Linked DNA regions of Notamacropus eugenii. The protein of the gene in region 1 interacts with the protein of each later gene in a pairwise test. Links are inferred from orthologs where the notes say so. Each region holds a gene or a part of one and is shown on either strand. Other genes may lie near its edges.

Evidence for each region.
Region 2: the proteins of SWSAP1 (region 1) and ZSWIM7 interact in binary tests that used the Homo sapiens proteins (3 or more experiments, as listed by UniProt). The link is inferred for Notamacropus eugenii from reciprocal best matches to the Homo sapiens genes SWSAP1 and ZSWIM7.

Annotation. Positions count from the first base shown.
Region 1 is NC_092875.1:78,509,180-78,519,567, forward strand, and holds the start of SWSAP1 (ATPase SWSAP1), read right to left. Parts: upstream 3,954-10,388; 5' UTR 3,919-3,953; coding exon 3,670-3,918; intron 1-3,669. UniProt on the Homo sapiens protein: ATPase which is preferentially stimulated by single-stranded DNA and is involved in homologous recombination repair (HRR). Has a DNA-binding activity which is independent of its ATPase activity.
Region 2 is NC_092873.1:42,136,853-42,146,389, forward strand, and holds the start of ZSWIM7 (zinc finger SWIM domain-containing protein 7), read right to left. Parts: upstream 3,721-9,537; 5' UTR 3,653-3,720; intron 3,637-3,652; exon of another isoform or gene 3,331-3,636; 5' UTR 3,325-3,330; coding exon 3,249-3,324; intron 887-3,248; coding exon 865-886; intron 1-864. Other genes in the region: TTC19 (tetratricopeptide repeat protein 19, mitochondrial), read left to right, coding at 4,096-4,288, 4,405-4,541, 5,033-5,143, 5,684-5,722, 6,010-6,066, 6,587-6,648, 7,193-7,287, 8,151-8,305. UniProt on the Homo sapiens protein: Involved in early stages of the homologous recombination repair (HRR) pathway of double-stranded DNA breaks arising during DNA replication or induced by DNA-damaging agents. Required for meiotic progression, hence for fertility.

The DNA of each region.
Region 1 (10,388 bases):
TGACCTGTTAAGATTTGACCTGTCACCTTCAAGAGAGAAGGTTTCTCAAGTAGAATAGTTAGAAGCCAAGGTTATGAGGGGTTGAGGAGTAAATGGGGAGTAAGGAAATGAAGTGAATGTACATGATTCTTTCTAGGAGTTCAGCAGTGAAGGAGCAGAGAAATAATCTCTCAAGGGGATGGGAGGGTCAAGAAGGACGTTTAAGGCTAAGGGTGACCTGAGCATGACTGTAGGTATGATAGGGAGAGGCTGACAGTGAAAGAAAGAGAAGGCTCCTCTTTCAACAAAGATGGTGGGGGATGTAATCAAAGGTACAAGGAGAGGGACTGGTCAGTCATAACAAGGAAAGGGTCACATCTTTCTGTGACTGAAACACAAAGAACAGATGTTGGGGAGACAGAAAAAGGTTTCCAGGTGTGGAGGAACAATAGGTGACATTAATCAAAGAGGGAGGCCAGATCATGTGGATAGGGCTAGGGACTTGCTGAAAGAAGTCTGGACCAGCCTCCATGGGGAATGTGGTCAGTCTAAAAGGACTGACTGTCATGCAGCAGGGAGGATCCAGCTGAAGTTAGAGAATACAGATCTCTGGAGGACCCAGCAAAGATAGTGTCAGCATTCATTGGCTCGGCAATCCCAATCCGACCTGAGAAGGCAGATGGTGAGAATGGTCTTGAGGGAGGATGGGTCAGTTGAGAAAGTCAGCATGAAAGTGACTCAAGGTTAGAGGGCATTGTTTGGTAGAACAGGTTAAGTAGAGGGTCAAGGTTTCTTCTAAGTAACCCAGGAATATGTGCTATTTAACTTTTTAATCAATGATTTGGATAAAGGCAATTCAGTAAATTCTTACTGAATTTACACAGGATACAAGGCCAGGAGCGATAGTTAAGGCATTGAATGACAAAGTTGGGATCCAAAAAGATTCAACTAGCTAGACTGTTGAGCTAAATCTTAATATGATGAAATTTGATAGATATGAACATGGAGTCTTGGGTTAAAAAAAAATCAACTTTGCAAGTATATCATTATGTGTGGAAGTGGACAGTGTTGGGCCTGAAGTCAGGAAGACCTGAGTTCAAATTCAAATTGAACTCAAATTGAGTTCAAATACAAGAACAGACACACCCATTTTGTTTGGTGTTTGTTACATTCAGAATATTTTTTTCTTAAGAAAAAAAGGGTTCATCACATTTTTGGGAGAGCAGTGTCATTCAAGTGTTTGGGCTGAAAACTAGGCCAGGAGGTGTTGGAAATCGGGGAAAGAAATGAAGGCAAGGGCTGTAGACTAGCAGGGTTAAACTCAACACTGCATGTCAACTTGGAAAACCACAAATTCACATTATGTTGTATTTTAAGCTTTATTTTGTTAAACCTTTGCCAGCTACATTTTAATCAATGTTCAGCCCCCACTGGGGAGGTTTGTAGGCCATGAATTTGACACCTCTGGTGCAGAATGCCCTTTCTAGGAGTCTGTTTGATCAAGTCAAAGGGAATATAGATAGAGGATAATAATTTGAGCAGATGGCAGGGTCATGAGAAGGTTTTTTAAGGATAGAGGAGATACTGGCCTATCTATAGACTGCAGGGAAGAAGTCAGTGGATAAGGAAAGATCAAAGATCAACCAATCAGGTACTGTGCTAGAGGATAGGGGTACAGAGACTAAAACTAGAGTCCCTATCTTTAATATCTTTACATGCTACTAGGAGGAAAAAAACAGATATAGAGAAATCAATACAAAACATAAGATAATTACAAGGTAACTTTTTAATTTGACGGAAGGCTCAGGAAGACGCAGCTCTTGAGCTGAGCTCTCAAGTGTGACCACAGACCAGAACCCTCCCCTAAAATCCCTAGGTCGCAAGGCCTGGGTGACATCCTTCGGGGGAAAGTCTAACCCCAAAGTGGTATCTTATCTTTCTGGCTTGTTTTGCCCCTATCCCAGAGTTTTACTCCAGGCAAATCTCCAAAATAAAGCTTAGGTTGAAGACAAATGAAATGGCTGAAAAGCGAGAAGGGAAGAGCGAGATCAGATCAGAGTAGACAAGATGGACGTAGGGTGGGGTGAAGAGGTACAGAGCAGGGTAGGAAGGAAGAATAGGTTGGGAGGGACCTTAGAGGTTATCAAGTCCTTAAAATCAAAGGATTGCAGATTTTAGAGCAAATGGATCATCTCATCTAACCTCATTTTTTACATGGGGAAATTGAGGTCCAGAGTTATGAAGTGATTTGTTTGTTAAAGGTAACAGAGAAGTACCAGTGTCAGGTACAGAAGTACCTATGTCCCTTAACTCCAAATTCAGCAATCTTTCCAATACACCAAAATCATGGAAACGGAAAAGTTTTAGGTGAGGGTGAAATCTAAGTTGTCAGCACCCCTATAGTTTGACAGAGTACAGTCAGAGTTGATGGGAGTTGAAAAGATTAATGAACTGGGAGACCAGGACATTATAAAGTTTGTTGGCATGAACCATGAGCCAAGTCCTCAACTCCTGGAGGAAGGAAAAAACGTGATCTGGAGCTCAGCACATAACAGCAACAAACACCTGGATAGCGTCCGGATGATGGAAATTTAAAATGGAAAGGTCGCTGAGAACTGGTGCAGAGAGAGAGTCTCAAAGTGCATGACTCCTGGCCCCGAGTATCAAGAGGCATGAGACATTGGCCAAGACTGGAGATGGTCACAAGACATATGCTGCCCTCAGGATAAAGCAAGGCTTGAGTTACTACCTGAAGGTAGAAAGAATAGGAGGGAAAGAGGAGGAGTTTGTTAACAAAATGAGTGGACATTCTACAGAGCACAGTGGAAGGGAAAAGCAGAGGAGGGAAAGAAATTGGGCTGAGTTGTATAGGGATGAGCATTCAGGGGGACACCAGGGGAAAGAGATTTCCCCCAAGGCAGGTAGAAACTATGAAACATAGGGATTAGTGGAGCAGGAGGTAGCAATCTGCCAGCCTCAGGGCAGGGGGAGAATTAAGTAGGGAGACTATGACCAGTGTCTGCTCCTTTTCTGACTGCGTTTGAGGCTTCAAGTCCCTCCCCACTTTAAATCTGTCCCCCACAAAGTTGCCAAACGCCCATATTATTATTCCCCAACTCATTAAAATCCAGTGGCTCCTTATTGCCTCTAGAATAAAAACACAAACTGCTCTGTTCGGCCCTTCACAACCTAGTCCCAACCTATTTTTCCAGCCCCACTATACACTGTTCCCATCCAACCAGGCTCCTCCTGCTGCTGCTCACACAATGTGTCCCTGTGTCTTTGCAATGGCTGCACCTCCATGTATGGAGTGCACTTGCTCCGCATCTCTGCCTCGGAGATTCCCGGACCTTCATCGAGACTCATCTCCAGCCTACATACTCCTACAAGTCTCAGCGCCCACCACCTGCCTGGTATTTCTTTTGTGTTTGTCCTGCATGTGTTACGTAGGGATCTGCCTCTCTTGGAAGGCAAGGGCTGGGTTTTTCTGTTTTTGTATCCACAACAACTAGCACCGCGCCTGACACACCCTGGGCACTTAAGAGATGGTGGGTGACTCCATCCCAGAGCCCCGCCCCTTCCAGAGCTCCGCTCCACAGATGGCTCCGCCTCCTCACCACAGAGCTCCTCCCCCTCCAGAGTCCCGCCCCGCAGATGGCCCAGCCCCCTGGAGCTCCGCCTATCAGTTACCTGGAGCCTCAGCGGGTCCCTAGCAGCTCCGGCCTTCCATCCTGGAGGGAGGCTCTGGAGGGCCTTGCGAGCCACAAACAGCACTGGGCCCCGACCCTCCCCCGCTGCCACCAGGGCAGCCGCGAACAGCAACGCCGTCTTGCCGGAGCCCGGCTCCCCGAGCAGCAGAAGGCCGGTACCCTTCCCAGCGGCGCAACCTTCTCCGCCGACCCCTGCGCCCGGACTCAGCAGCGCCCTCAGAGCCTCCATGCCCGCTCTCAGCCCTCCCTCTGCGCTGCACACGCGGCCAATCAGAGCGCTGCTCTGCGCTAATCCCTCCCCCTTGAAAACGGTCCATTGGCTAGGCTCAGTTCACTTCGGTAGCTCGCCGGAGGGGCCGGGCGAACGCTCCCAATGGGCGGTCCCTCCACGTGGTCTTCCCAGGCTCGACTGCAATGGGGGGCAAGGTCTTCCAGGGCACCCCCTACTGCGCCCTCCTAGATCACCGAGCCTCACGTCTTCTTTTTCTTTTTCCTTCCTTTGTCTCTTCTCCAGTGCCTTTCCTCAGTTAAATATTCCCATTTTTCCTGCATATAACTTGCTTTGTATGTATCTGCATGTTGTCTGAGGGCAGGGACTCTTTTGCCCCTGTATGTATCCCTAGCACAGTGCCTAGCACGTAGTAGATGGTTAGTAAATGTTGATTGATTGATCTTGCATTCTGCAGTCCATTTAATCTCCATCTTTTCTCTCTACCACATCTCCCAGTTTGTTTCTCAGTTAAGAATTTACTAAGTACCTGCTCCTCGAAAGCGCTGTGTTAGGGCCCTGGAGATAGGAGGACAAACACGGAAAAGATTCCTATGCACAAGGAGCTTTATTCAACAAGTATCTCATATCACTAAAGTTCCTGTCAGCAGAAGCTTAGACCAAAGGGTAAAAAAGACAGACGGCTGCAAGTACCTGAAGCCTTTGCTTCCCTGAGATCCCAGGACAGAGTGGCGAGCCAGGAGGGAGGCATCTCTTGTTTATACAAACACATGCCTCTCCCACCTTACTCCCTTTCTATGGTTTTGGGCCAGTGAAGTTCAGGAATCCCTGACTGTACACAAAGAAACGGGAAAGACAAGAAGGAGAAGTTTGGGGAGATTGCTGGAAGCAGAAGTCACCATGTAGGAAACACATTTTTCTTTTCACTTTTAAAAAATAAGCGATGTAGCCACAGTATGTTGAATGTATATCCAGAACCTTGTTGAGGCTGCAGGTTCCCCACCCCTGGCTTATGCCATGTGAACATGGGGGTGGAGGGTGGGGGGCAGGGCAGAGAGAAGATTCTAGTTGTAAAACAGGCACACTAGAATGAGAGATTTCTTGCTTTTTAATCATTTTGAGCAGTATTCCGTGTCATCCCCTGGTTAAATTTCTAGTCTTTAGCCAGTGCTAGCATGTAATTTGGTTGGTATGTGAAGAGCAGTCTAATACCTGCTATGGGTCAATGGAGATGCTTCAGCCTTTGGGGATGCTATACTATGTAAGACCCAGAGAAGAACTGAGGGTCAGTGGCTCAAGGAGAGGGACGCTTGGTGGGCTAATCAGGTATTCACTCCAAAAAACAGTCCAAGAATCTCATGTATATGTCTCCTTTTCATAGTGAAACTCCTAGGAAAAGCAATGTTACTTTTCCCCACTTTCCTCTCAACCACTTCCAACAGCATCATTCAGTGGAAATTGCTCTCTCCAAGGTAACCAATGTTTTCTTAATTGCCAACGTATTAACTTTTTTCTCAGTCCTCATTCCTCTTGACTTCTCTGCTATGTTTGATGCTGTTAGCAGTTTTGTCCTCCAGGATTCTCTCTCTCCTGGATTTTTGTGATCCCATTCTCCTTTTTTAGGGTGAAGTGGATAGAACACTGAGCCTGGAGTTAGGAAGACTCATTTTAATGAGTTCAAATCTGACACTAGTTGTGTAACCTTGGGCAAGTTACTTAACCCTCTTTGCCTCAATTTCCTCATCTATTAAATGACCTGAAAGAAGGAAATGGCAAACCAGTCTAGTATCTTTGCCAAGAAAACCCCAGATGGGGTCGTGAAGAGTCAGACATGACTGAAAAACAACAACTTTTTCTTTTAACTATGTAATTGTTTGTTTTCAATCTCTGTTGTTGATCTATGTCACATCCCCTAATTGTGCATTTACCCTCAAGACCATATCTTGGGCCCTCTTCTTTTTTTCTCCCCTCTTTCTCCTTTGGCAAGTTCATCAACTTCCATGGGTTTAACGATCATCTCTATGTAGATGACTCTCAGGTCTATATATCAAGCCTTCATTTCTCGAGTTCCAGGCTTACATTCATCAGATGAATGTTGGACATCTGCAACTAAATGTTTCATAGAAATCTCAAACTTAACATGTCTAAAATGGAGCTCATTATCTTCCCTTTCAAACTCACCCCTCTTCCTAACTTCCCTATTTCTCCCAAGGGTATGACCATCCTTCCAGTCAGCTGGAAGATCAGGAACCCTGGGAGAGGCACCACCCTTCCTGATTATTAGGTCTGCTTTCAGACCAGCCATCATTTGGGGAGGCAACTCCTGTGGAGAAGGAGCCAGGCATCCTTATTAATTGTCAACCAATTGTCACTCACTGGGCAAGCAAGCCAGTCTAGCTGAAGTAGCAGTGCACCCTTGGGGAGAGATAAGAGGCAGCATATGCCAGGTGGGGCAAACTACCTCTACCGTAACCACCATATCCCCTCCAATCCTGATGGAAACAGCCCAGAACCCTGAATCCCAGAGCTTTAGGAATGGCAATTCTTCCAGGCAAGGGCTTTTAGTCATTATCTTGGGATACGTGGGTACTACCCACAGAAGACACAGAAAAGAAAGTTCTTGTCACCCAAGTCTTTGGTACTATCAGATGGTTCAATATCAGAATCTGATATGATTTTATCACTGGAAATGACATTTAAAAAGAGTGATTACCACCTGCTTTGCTGCTGTATCCTAAGGACATAGACCTTTCTATCCAACTGTAATGTTAATGGAATGTGAAGATCTTCCCCATCCATTAATAGACCTATGTAATCAGGGAAATCTTACAGCTTTGAGCTCCAGCCAGCTGTGATAAACTTGAGTCACATAGAGCCCACTGGGGGAGGAACTTGCCTAAGGAAGAGCTTGCTTAGGGGAGGCTTGTTTTCAGGAAGGCTTTCACACCTTTTGGTACTAAGCTAATTAGGCATTGAGTCACAAGGGTTGTGATGCCTTCTGGTTCTGAGCCTATTAGCCAAAAGTGTCTGTGTATATATGTATATATTCTGAGTTGAGATTTTGCTTTGGGAGTTTGCTTATGAGAAGGATCTTTTGATTCCCTGGACAGGACTCTGATTTGTTAAGAGTCTCCTCCCCATCCCCCATCCCCACTACTCAAATGTTTGTGCTCTCCTGCTCTGATGGCATATGTAGGTACTTGTATTACTTTGTTCAGACAGTTGGAGCCCTGTCTGTTAAATCTCTGTGTTCATTTCTCTGCTTGTATTTTCTACTTATCTGTAATTAAAGTAAGATCGTTGACCCCCTCTGAAGTTATCTTTCTTTCAGAAAAGCAGATCAAAGAACCTGTGCTAGCAGGCCATCCTGGGTATGCTTGGGTGCTTGCTAGTACACCAACTTACAGCTAAAACCTTCCGTGTGTACATCTCTCCCATTTAGAAGGTGCGGTCTTTGAGAGCAAACGCTGCGACATTTGTATTCCTCACATTTAGTTCAGTGCTCTGCACATAATCAGCACTTCATTCCTTCATTCATTCATGCATTCATTCCTTCTAATCACCCAGGTGACTAAAGTTTCAGAATCATTTCCAGTTCTTTACTCTCCCTTACATCTCCATTTCTAGTCAGTTTCCACAAAATCTCAGCCACCCCTCGCCCCCAATTCAGGTCTTCATCACCTTTGGCCTAGATTATTGAAGTATCCTCCTAACTGATCTCTCTATTATCTCTCCTTTCCAGCCCAAACCTCTAAACAACTTCTCAATGAATATTCCTAGTGACATGAACATGTCACTCTCCTATTCAAGAAGATTCAGACGCTTCTTACTACCTCTAAGAAAATACACACTCTTCTGGTTGGCATTTAAAACTCTTCATAATCTTTATCTCCAGGCTAATTTCACCTTACTACACCTCACACACTCTACATTCCAGCCAAACTGACTTACGTGCTTTTTGTCATGCAAAACATTCCATCTCTAGCAACTGTGGCTTTGTACAAGCTGTCCCCTGGTGCCTGGAATGCGCTCCCCTCACACCCCAACCTCTGGAATCTCTGGTTTCTTTCAAATTTCTGCTCAAGTGCCTCCTGCTACTAGAAGTCTGTCTTGATTCCTCCCACTCCTCTCACACACTTGTTATGGCCTTCCCCACTAAAATTATTCAGTGTTTAGTGCATATGTGAGGCAGCTTTCTACTTGGGACTGTAGCTGTTTTCCTTCCTATTTTTACCCCCTAGATCTTCAGGCATCCAAGAGAGATGGAAATATAGAACTGAATCGCCTTGAGGTAGGCATTACCATAAATGGCAGTTGTCAGAGGTCATGTTGATCTAGTAGGACTTTTCACTTTTTAAAGTATTTATTCATCTACAAAAATATTTATAGCAGCTATGTTTGTGGTGGCCAAGAACTGGAAATTAAGGGGATGCCCATCACTTAGGGAATGATTGAACAAGTTATGATATATGAACGTAATGGAATATATTGTGCTGTAAGAAATAATGAATAGGCAGACTTCAGAAAAACTAAAAAAGACTTATATGAACTGATGCTTAGTGAAATGAGCAGGACCAGGAGAACATTGTACGCAGTAACAGCCACAGTGTGCAGTGATTGACTTTGATAGACTTAGCTCTTCTCAAGCAATGCAAGGACCTAAAGTAACTCCAAAAGACTCATGATGAAAAATGCTATCCATTTCCAGAGAAAGAACTGTGAAGTCTGAATACAGATTGAAGCATACTATTTCCTCTCTTTTTTTGTTTTGTTTTGTTTTTTCTTTTTCATAATTCCTTCCATTCATTCTCATTCTTCTAATCAACATGACTAATCTGAAAATATGTTTAATAAGAATATATATAGAGAGTCTATATCAGAATGTATGCTGTGTTGGGAAGGGGCGAGGAGAGGGAGGCGGAGAAAATTTTAAATTTATTTAAGTTCATGTTAAAAACTAAAAATAAATTAATTAAAAATAGATCGAAGCTTTCCATTGCTATACAAAAAAATAAAAACAATATTTATTTTGTACAAATATTTTCCTTGGGGGCCCCCACATTGAACAATTTTGAGAAAGAAAATCCTCATAACAGATATGGATAGACCAGCAAAATAGCTTCCCACATTGGCCATGCCTGGCAAATATGTTTCCTGTCTGGCAGGAGGTAGTTGGTGTGTTTCATCTTCGTCTTCTGGACTCATGGTTTATAACTGCATAGATCAGAGTGTTCAAGTCATTCAAAGACATTTTTCTCTAGTGCTACTGGCATTGTATAACTGCTCTTCTAGTTGTGTTCACATCAGTTCCTAAAAGGCTTCCCAGTTTCCACTGAGACTGTCCATCTCATCATTTCTTATGGCACAGCAATATCCCATAATTTGTTTGACCATTCCCCAGTTGATGTGCATCCCTTTAGTTTCTGGGTCTAGCAGGACTTTTTTTCAGGGTATTCCTCACCAGAGAGAGATGTGTCTACTCCTGGTTCCTGTCATTGAGGGGGCCTTTGCTGGTTTTTCCAACATTTTGATGCTCACAGAAATGTAACCTGATCACTGTTGTTTCTAAATAGTCATTTACAACCAGGATAGGGTACATTATTTCTAGAATAGGAAAGAATAAACACAAGTGATCGAAGAGATGGAGGTATTGTGTGTTCATGGCTATGCAGTTGGTCTGGTGGGGAGAGAAATCTGCCATAGCAGGTGACTGCTACTGCCCCTCCTCCAGCCACCCAGAGGCCCATAGCATTTCTTCCTCCTCACTCAAAAGCCATCTGGGAAGGAAATGAGAGTTCCTTTGCTCAAAACTTGCATATGCACACTTAGTTAAGCTTCATGACCCAGTTAGAAGTCTGTCCATGATCACACGGAAACCAACAGGAAACAGAACAGAACTAATGTGTGCTCTGAAATGGGAAAGAAAAGGGTCCCTCCATTACTTGGTTCAGAGAGTAGGCTTCCCAAGTCTCCATGTGGGTTAATATTAGGCAGAGTTTATTGTGTATTCTTTTTTTTAAGTATTTTTTTCCTAGAGGGAGGAAGGCAAAGCAGTGGGGGCTAAGTGACTTGCCCAAGGTTACATAGGTAACAAGTGTCACGTGTCTGGGGCCACATTTGAACCCAGGTCCTCCTGACTCCAGGGTTGGTGACCTATTCGCTACGCCACCTAACTGCCCTTATATTATATATTCTTTAAAGACTGGGAGCTTATTGCCTAGTCCCCCATTACATATGAAATGTTACATGCCTACAGTCATTCATTTCTGCAAAGAAGGGAAATGTTTTCCATTCTTCTTTGGTTCAAGCTTGGATATTATAATTATGCAATATTTGGGGTTTTTTTCTTTCCAATTTTACTGTTGCAGTTTTTGTGTCTTGTTTTCTGGGTTCTTACTTCATTCTGTCAGTTTACATAAATCTTCTCATACTTTTCTGAATTCTTCACATGCCTTGTTTCTTACAGCTCC
Region 2 (9,537 bases), on another chromosome or scaffold:
AATGCACTCCTTTTGCACAGTCACTTGTTAAACTATCTCATCTCTTTCCAAATTTGGGTTCCTTTCTTCTCCAGTGACCTTTCCTAACTCCCCCACACCTCACCAAACACCTAGTATTGTGTACAGGCCCATCTGTGCATAGTGTCTCATCTACCATGACCCCACTGCTCCATAAGGGCAGGCACTGATTCCCTTTTGTCTTATATCTCCATAGCCCAGGACAGTGTTTGGCATGAAGTGAGTGCTTAATAAGTGCTTATTAGTTAATTTATTGATTTAAAGGTTAGAAAAGACATGATCCCTGCCTTCATGGGACTTCCCGTCAAGAAGAGTAAGACTTCAATACAGAAAGCTTCACACACACACACACACACACACACACACACACACACACACACACACACACACACATAGGTGTTGAGGGAAGATCATTTTCCACTGAGGGTAGGGAGAGAAGAACTGGGGAAAGCTTCCTGAAGGAAGCAGCATTTGAGGTGGGCTTTAATGGATGGATAGGAATTCACTAGGCAGAAAAGGAAGGAAGGGAATTCCAACTAGAGGAAGTGGTGTGCAGGAAGGCAAGGAGGTTAAGTTTTTTATTTGTTTGTTTATTTATTCCAGGGGTGTTGGGAGAGGATAGTAGTCCAATCTGGATGGAACAAATGGAGGCTAGAAAGACTGTGGCACAAAATTGTGAAGAGCTGGGAGTGCCAGGTGAAGTTTAAGCTTTTGTTAACAAACAATAGGGAGCCATAGAATGTCTGACCTCGTAACGAATGACAAGTTCAGATCTATGAAAAGCATCGTACTCCAGCATCACTGACAATCAAAGTTCCCCCCAAATTCAAAAGGGCAAATACTCACGCCAAGAGGAGTTCATCAGGCACTGCAAAACAAAAAAGGGGAAGAAAAATCAGTCACCTTCCTGAATGCTAACTGATGAGCCCACATGTTGATCCTTAGCAATGAAGGCCTTATAAGCCCTACAACCTCACCTCCACAAGGGAGGCCTTTTCAATTTCCACCTCCTTCCCAACAGGATTAGAATTATGAAAAAGCCAGTGAATGGACTTCACTGCTTAAGAGTATAAAATCTGGATAAAGGGTCATCTCTGCAACCAATTCTCATTTCTTTAACTTTTCCACAGAGATTTTAAACTCTTACGAGAAAGGGTTTAACAATGTGCAAAGGAAAAGGGATTGTGAAGAAATTAAAATGCTCCATTGTTTCAGTCGTGTCCAACTCTGTGACCCCATTTGGGATTTTCCTTCTCCAGCTCATTTTACATCTGAGGAAAATGATACCAGTAGGGTGAAGTGACTTGCCCAGGGTCACACAGCTAGTAAGTATCTGAGGGCAGATTTGAACTCAGGAAAATGTCTTCCTGATTCCAAGCCCAATGCTCTAGTCACTGTGCCAACTAGCTGCTCCACTCTCGCCTCCACCCTGAAATCCGGAGCCAGGAAGATGCCAGGTGGACTCCTAGGTCATATCCCTAAGTTGCAATTCCCTAAACTTTCAATCAGTAAGCAATAGGGAGCCATTGAATGTCTGGGTGGGTTTTCATCCTGGAAAACAATCTGCTTTCCGTAGGAAACAACAGTAGTTTCTCTCACTGGAGGAGTTCAGAAAAAGTCAGCTGTTTTTCTTTCTGGGATCAGAATACACGAGCAACTGATACCAGTGGATCCTTTTAAGCACATTCACTCACAGCCGTTTTGACTAAAAACCAGACAAAGGGAGTTGATTTGTTCTTGAGCACTCCCTTGAAAATGGCAACGTCTCTTTGAATGATACTAATGCAACACCAAACCATTTTTAAACAGACATTTGGAAGAGCAGAGGAAACATGGGGTCACCCCTTTGCAGAAGCGGGGGATTGGATGTGGATGAATGCAGAAGCTATCTTCAGGCATTGCTGAGGCGGTGGCTGGTTTGGCTGAAATGCTCTATTTCATGGCTAATCTTTGCTATGAAGGATGGCTCACTAGGTGGGGAGGGAGAAGAGACATCTGGAAATGAAGGGGATGGAAAAATGAAAGCTACTCGTAAAAATAAGATCAATTGAAAAACTAGAGGCAAGGGTTTATATATCAAATTTGTGTGCATATATAATAGATGTATATATACTGTCTATACACTCATATTGTGGATACATGGTATATACACACATTAAAAAACAACACTATTTACTAGTGTGGCCTCAAGCAAATCCCTTAACTCTTTGAGCCTCAGTTTCTTTCTCTGTAAAATGAGGGAGTTGGTCTGGACAACCTTACTGTACCTATAACTTATCTTCAGCTCAGTGACACTCCCCACTCCCCCAGCCTGGCTGGCCAGTTGGATGAGAGTGCCCTTTGATCCAGGCCATTTCAGGACTTGCTGTTGGTCAAGTATGGCCACCCTGTTCCCTGCTTCCACTCTGGCTCTGGGCACTGTAAATAAATCGGCCTTCGCACAGCCTCTGGAAAAGGCAACTGCTCTGGGGTTCCACCGGGACTTCCCAGACCAAAGCCCCCTTTCCTGGTCATGGCTCCTCTAGGTGTGTGTTTCCCCTTATGTAATATAATTGGATATATAATTATATTATGTTATATATGTTATAATAATATAATATATAGTATAATCTCCTTGAAGGTAGGCGTATTTAGCATACGGCCAAGCACACAGTAATGAATGAATGGAATGAATGAAAAAACACCTGTCAGATGCTTCCCGTGTGCTGGGCCCCCCTAAGAAGGACAGTCCCCGCTCTCCGAGGGGGACAAAGAACAAAGCTCGGTTGAGTGTTCCGAGGAGGGGTGGCCGGGCCCCGTCGGTGGGCCTCGGATCTGCAGGGCACGGGCACAGCCACAGCCCCGTCGGAAGGACCCTCCCCTCCCATCCCGGGCACAGAGAGGCACCGGGCAAGCCCTGTGCGGTGCGGGCAGAGGGCAGACGCCGAACCGCACAGGCTCGCTCGTATGTTCCTTACGATTCTCTGTCACTGAATGGATACACGTGGGCAGAACCCGCCCCGTCTGACAGGCCTCCTCGGCGGCCCCGGCAGCATTCGCACCCAGGCCCCCGCCCTCTCAGACCGCAGCAACAGGCAGCAGGGTTCCTTGGCCAGGGGCATCCTCTGCTGGTCACTGAGGGAAGAGCCGCCCCCAGGAGGTTCCTGCCCCGCACCCCACCCCCTCCCCGGGCTCGGCCGGCCGGTCCTGGGGTCCCGAGGGCCAGCGGCTGCCCCGGGACGCCCCCCTACCTCGAGTCGCCTCCCCGCGCGTGGCCGCAATCTCGCCCAGCACCGCCTCCAGCACCGCGGGCAGCGTGGCCTCCATGGCATCCTGGGGGCAGGGACACAAGTGGATCTCCAAGCGCGGGTCAGCCCCGGGGTCACATCCCGACCCTGCGGCTCACGTAGGGGGCCTTAGCCGCCCCTCCAGGCCTCAGTTTCCTCATCTGTCAAACCTGGGGGCTGGACTCTTGAAAACCCGCGGGGTGGGAGAGGGGAAGGTCGGACCTGCGCGAGGGGCACTCGAGGCCAAGATCTATCCCGGACTCCGGGGTTCTAGGGTCACTCGGGGTTGGGACTCACCCTCTAGGGTTCCCGCTCCCGCCCTCCCTGAGCTCCAGCGGCCCCGGCTTCTTAGGCTAGGCGCTACGCACCCTGGGAGATGTAGTTCCTGCCCCTCCAGGTCACGTGCCCCAGGGTTCTTACGCAAGCCCGGAAACGGGAACACCGCGGCCTTCTAGGTCGGAGGCGAAAGGTTTGGGGCCGTTCGGCCTCCGTCCCCGGAAGTAGGGGGCCGGGGAAGCTTCCACGACACGGGGGGCGGGACTCCTGGGCACGTGGTAGGGCCGAAGGCGGGGCCCGGGGAGGGGAGAGGGCGGAGCCTGGGCCGGCCTGCCTAGCTGCCGGCGGCTCCCCCGGAGTGTCGGAGCTGGAGCTGCGAGGCCGGTGCCACGGCCGGGCCTCCCCCCACCCCCGTCCTCCCGGGGCCCCCCCTGCGCGCCCGGCTCCTCCGGGAGAAGCTGCCGAGGCCGGAAGGCGGCCGCGTGACTCGCTGTCCCGAGCCGCCCGCTCCTTCCGGACGCGGACGGAGCCCGGGATGTGGGGCCCGCTGAGTCGCAGCCTCGGCCGGGGCCTCTTGGCGGCCGCGGGCCGGCGTCGGAGGGGCTACGCGCGGCTGCTGCTGGCGGGGCCCCGCGGCGGCGGCCGGCGAAGCGCCGACGTGGCCGCCAAGCCCTCCCGCCTCGGACAGGGCCGCTCCGCCCGCGGGCTGTGCGTGGTGGCGCTGGCGGGTGAGCCGGGGCCCGGCGCGGGCGGGAGCCGGGGGCGGCGGGGGGCGGCGGGGCGCGCGTTGCCGTGGGGACGGCGCTGCGTTGCCGTGGTGACCGGGCCCGCCCCCTCTCGCCAGCAGCCTTGTCGTGGTTCTTCAAAAGCGCCCCCGCCGAGGTGGAGGAGGAGGAGGAGGAGGAGGAGGAAGACGAGGAGGTGGAGAGCCCGCCCTCCGAGACCGAGCTCAGGATCATCGAAATGCTCAAGCGGGCCAAGGTGAGGAGGCCCCCCGTGAAGACCTGCGGGGAGGGGGGAAATGCCGCCCTCCAGCGTCCCCAGGCCCGGGGGCCTCCCTCCAGCCCACCGCCCGCCCCCGAGACCATCCGTGGTAAGAGCTGGGCGGAATAAAGGTGGAAATAACGTGTGCCTGACGCCACGTGCGCAGTCAGCTTCCCCCCTGCCTTCTCGGGGAGAAAGGGGGGGGCCGAGGCGGGGAGGGTTAGTTTTTTAATGTAATGGGGGAATATTTAAGGAAATAAAGAAAAGTATATAATATACTTACATATGTACGTTTATACATATGTATGTGCACACCCATACACGCATGCATGCATGTACACGTGCGCACACATACACACGCATGTACACACATGCACACATACATACATACACACATATACATATATATGTACGTATATATAAAATCACTAGCCAGGTTGCATTGCTGTCCCTCCTTTGATGTTTTCCTTTGCACTCTCTGCCTGCAGCTGAGTATTATGAAAAAGGACCCGGAGGAGGCAGAGCGCATTTTACACGAGGCCCTTCATCTTGCTCATAAGGCAGATATCAAGAAGGCCATCATCTACACCTATGATATGGTAATTCTTCTCATACTGTTGCTGGGCCAAAAGCAGGAGAGGGCTTGCTAAGCCTCCTGCTTTCTGTTTCTGGGTCTCAAGAGGACAAAACATATAAGTTGACTTTTAGGTTTCTCGCTTTTTCCATCTGTCAGATGAGTTTAATTTCAACGTTGGAGGGGGTTGTTGATGATTATAAGCTCAATTCTTATGCATAGTCAATCCGCAAGCAGTTACGAAGAGCCTACTGTGTGTCAAGCATTGTAGGAGGAGCTGAAAATTCACCAGAATGCTCCACTACATATTAATACTTCTGTAAATATTCAGGGAATTTTAAGAAATGGTTAAGTGCTAGCCTGGTCTTTATCAGCACGGTTTGAAATATATGCCCATCAGTCTCCTTGTGCAGTGATGACTTCTAGTTAGTGATGGTCCTTTGGTCATACTCATCTCTCACTTTAAGAAAATAGAGGGGAAAAGGTCTTAGATTCTGATAAAAATGATGGAGGCAGTGCACCAATTGGAAAAGTAATGTTGATTTGACTTCTCTTTCCTTTACAGATGGCTAATTTAGCGTTCATGAGGAATCAGCTTGAAAAAGTAAGCAAGTGTTTTATTAGACTCTGAATCATGAAAAATTAGGCTTGAAATTCCAGGAGATCTTTGTCTGGAGATCAGATGAACTCATTTAAGTTGAAGTCGTACTGTATCACAGCGTTCCTTAAGATCTATAAATAGATAAGCTCAGGAGCCCTGCCATCTTCTGTCACCTCTTAATGTCCTTTTAGAGAGTTATTCTGTAAACCCCTTGTTGGGAACCCTCATCCTAGTGTTTTCTGTGACCCTTTGTGGAATGGTGGGACCACTTATACAATTTCTTATTTTAGGCAGAAAAGCTTTTTAAAGCAACAATGAGCCATCTCCTGATTGGAGGCATGAAGCAGGTAAGAATAGTAATTTTTGTTAACTGTGAGTGGTTCCAAATTAGCATCTTCATGAAAGGGCATTTCTCTTAGTGTATATTTTATGTCTAACCACAGTAAAACCACCCTTCTAATTCTCCATCTTCCACCTCAAAATAGGAATGCCAGCCTGCAGCCATGCTGCCTGATATGCCAGGAGTGTAGTGGTTTCTTAATTGAGCTTTTAACTGTGACAATGAGGAACACACAGACCATGAGGCAGTACCCTGATGCATGAGGTCATATGATACGGGTTGGTACTTGGAGTGCTAGAGGGAGACTTAGGGTCAGAGCCAACAGTAGGACTTTGGACAAGTCAGTTAACCTTTCAGGCTCAGTTTCCTGATCTGAAAAATGTATCCCCACAGGGTTATTATGAGCTAAAACCAGGTAATTTAAATGATGGTCTGTGTAAGCCTTAGCATGTTATATAAATGACAGTGATTATTACCTAAAATGATCTCGGAAGGAATTGTCTTTAAATGTCTTTTTCTTCCAATAGGAGGACAATGCAATAATTGAAATATCCCTAAAGTTGGCCAGTATCTATGCTACTCTGAAAAGGTAAGTTAAGGTAGGGCCCTTAGGATAGCAGGCCTCACAGGGCAGGCTTGGTGCTGGAGGGAAGACTTTTGACTTGGGATGTCGGAAAAAACACTCTTGTAAAACTACCTGCTTTTCAGAGGGTCAGAAACCATCAACTTTGTCTGGCATCCCAGAAATTCATTTCAGTTTGGCTGTGGCCTACTTTATCATATGGGCTTGGATTGATATGCTGCTTTCATGGCCAGGGGAAAAACATTTACAGAGTCTGACTCAGCTGCAAACAATTGATCAGTGTCAGAATTGGAATATCTCCATCACAGAAATTGTGTGGTAATGCACCTGGTACATATCCCTCAAAAAACTTTTTAAGAGAGGAGGTTTGAGTGGTGAGTGGGTAGGAGCTCTGAGAGCCTTGACTTATTGCCATCTTCCCATTTCACACGTCCCTTTCTGGTGGTGACTCAAGCCTTAGTTGGACGAAAGAGAAGTCTGACCCTGATCCCCCTGCAGAATGTCAGGGAGCTTGAAGGTGAACTGCTCGTCCCTGCTCTTTGCATTACAGACAGGAATTTGCTTTTGCTGGCTACGAGTTCTGCATTTCAACCCTGGAGAGAAAAATCACAAGAGAGAAGGCATTAACAGAAGAAATTATGCCAGGTAAGGAATCCAGGTCTCACCTGAGAGGGATTTCCTAATGCACTGCAGAAAAGAGAAGGAAGTTTCTTAGTTAAAGTGGAAGAGAGATGAATTATGTACTTTGGGTACTGATCAGAAAGTGGTTTGTATTTTCTGCTATTGCTTTGGAGACAATCACTGAGCAGATATGGCCACTTTCACTGCCACCTTTTAATGAGCATACAGCCCACGATCCTTTAGGAAGCTGAAAGAGGAAGACATTGATGTTTTCCTTCCTGTACTCAGCTCAGCTGCAAGTCTGGATCTTTTAATTTAAAATACCTAATTTCTTAACCTCCAAAAAATGGGAGTCAGGCATGTAGCAAACTCAGAAAGGACAGAATTTCTCTGGCTAATGTGTTAAAGTTCAAACTTTCCAACGCCAGCAAGTTAATAGATTAATTAACTGGAAGTAGGATGAATAATGTGGGAAACTTTAACTCCTGAATTCAGTTTGAAGTATGGGGAATTTCCAGACCATCAGATACTTAATAACTGCAAAAAATAAAGTCTGGAAGTTAACTCTAAGTCAGTTTCTAGGTATCTAAACCATTTCTGCCTTCCATGGGCAAGTGACCATTAACTGTCCCAACTCTCTTGACAGCAGTTTTCATCAATGAATGAATAGAACCTACTTTGATTCTGAGATTGGGGTATAATTACATGGGTCCTGGTAGTGGCAGTGCAGTGATGCTGCTGCTTGTCTCACATTGATATCTAGGAGCTGGGATTCTCAGGGACTGATGGGTTGATTCACAAGGGAATGAGGCCATGGCATCGGAAGCTGGGAGGGAGGGACGATCTCTCATTTCCCTTCCATCCACATGGTCTTGCTTGATTTTTAGCTGAAGAGAAAGCCAATACTCATCTCCTTCTGGGCATGTGCTATGACTCCTATGCTCGATACCTCCTTGATATCAGCCGACTGTCTGATGCACAAAAAATGTACGAAAAAGCGTTGCAGATTTCCAGAGAGATACGAGGAGAAAGACACCCACAGGTGACAACTGCTGCTTGCTACCTTGGTGGCTTATTGGTAGAGGGCTGTGCGTTCATTATCCTGCCTTAAAAATCAGGGTGAAGAAGTCTAAGGTGAAATTTCTACATTCAGAATAGGAAATGCTATACTGTTAGAAGGAAGAATGGGAAGAGATAGAACTGCTTTTGGATCAGTGAGTAAAACTGGAATAGATGACCTTTGGTCTGAGTGTGGGTGAAGTAACTTATTCCCTGAGTTATTCTGGGGGGAGTTGTTCCCTGAAGACATGGGCTGTTGGTGTTGCTGTAGCCAGAAAGACCAGTACCATGCTGACTATCGTCAGAGGGGCTCTAGAAATCAAATAGAACACATCCCCTTCTTGTTCAGAACCAGGCTAGGTTTTCCTTTGCCAGCCAGCATGTCCCTGCTGTTTACCACACTTATAGAAAGCCCAAGTAGAGCTGGAAACTCTCCAGAGAAAGAACCAAAAAAATGATAAAAATAGTCTGAAGCCTGGAGGAGGTGAGAGGGGAAGTGATGGAGGTGGTCAGTGTAGACATTTTCACTAAGTTCCAGCATAAGGTGAGCAGGAAATTTGAGAAGCAAATCTCAGACCAATAGTATGTGATGGCTTTATCTGGTTGAATTGGAGAATCGAGTGGTTTGTGTTGTTGAGGACAAGGGTGAGCCTACTTCCTTAAGCTGTCCGCAGCTTCTGAAGCTGTTTGGGCTTCTCCGCCTCCTCCAACAGTTGGACACAATTTAAGCTTTTCCTTAAAACTGAAGAGCCTTCTGAACCCCAGTTATTATGCTGAATCCTGGGGCAGCTTCCTACACCAAATGGCCCCACTTAGCTTTTGTTTCCTTCCTTGTTTGGGGGATAGGTTCTGTAACTCTGCTTGTCAAAACTGTATACAGAGTACTGAAGGCATTTTCCTAGTGTGTAAAGCATCTAGTTTTTCTGTCTGTTTGGGGCAGCTTTTTCAGTAATTGTGGAGTCATATGTGTTCTGCGGAGGTGAGGCTTCTGGAAAGGCCCCCTCTAGGCTCAGTGGGAAGTTTTATTCTGCTAGTTAGGAGATGTTTGGAGCTTACAAGGTGAAAAAGCTGTATGTCTCGAAACATTTGCTAACGGGAAAAGGTCAAGGGCAGGGCTTCTTAACACAGGCTCCACAGATGGATTTCAGGGGAGGGGAACAAAATGACATCTTTGTTTCAGTAGAATTGGGTTCCTTGATACTCCTGTGTATTTTA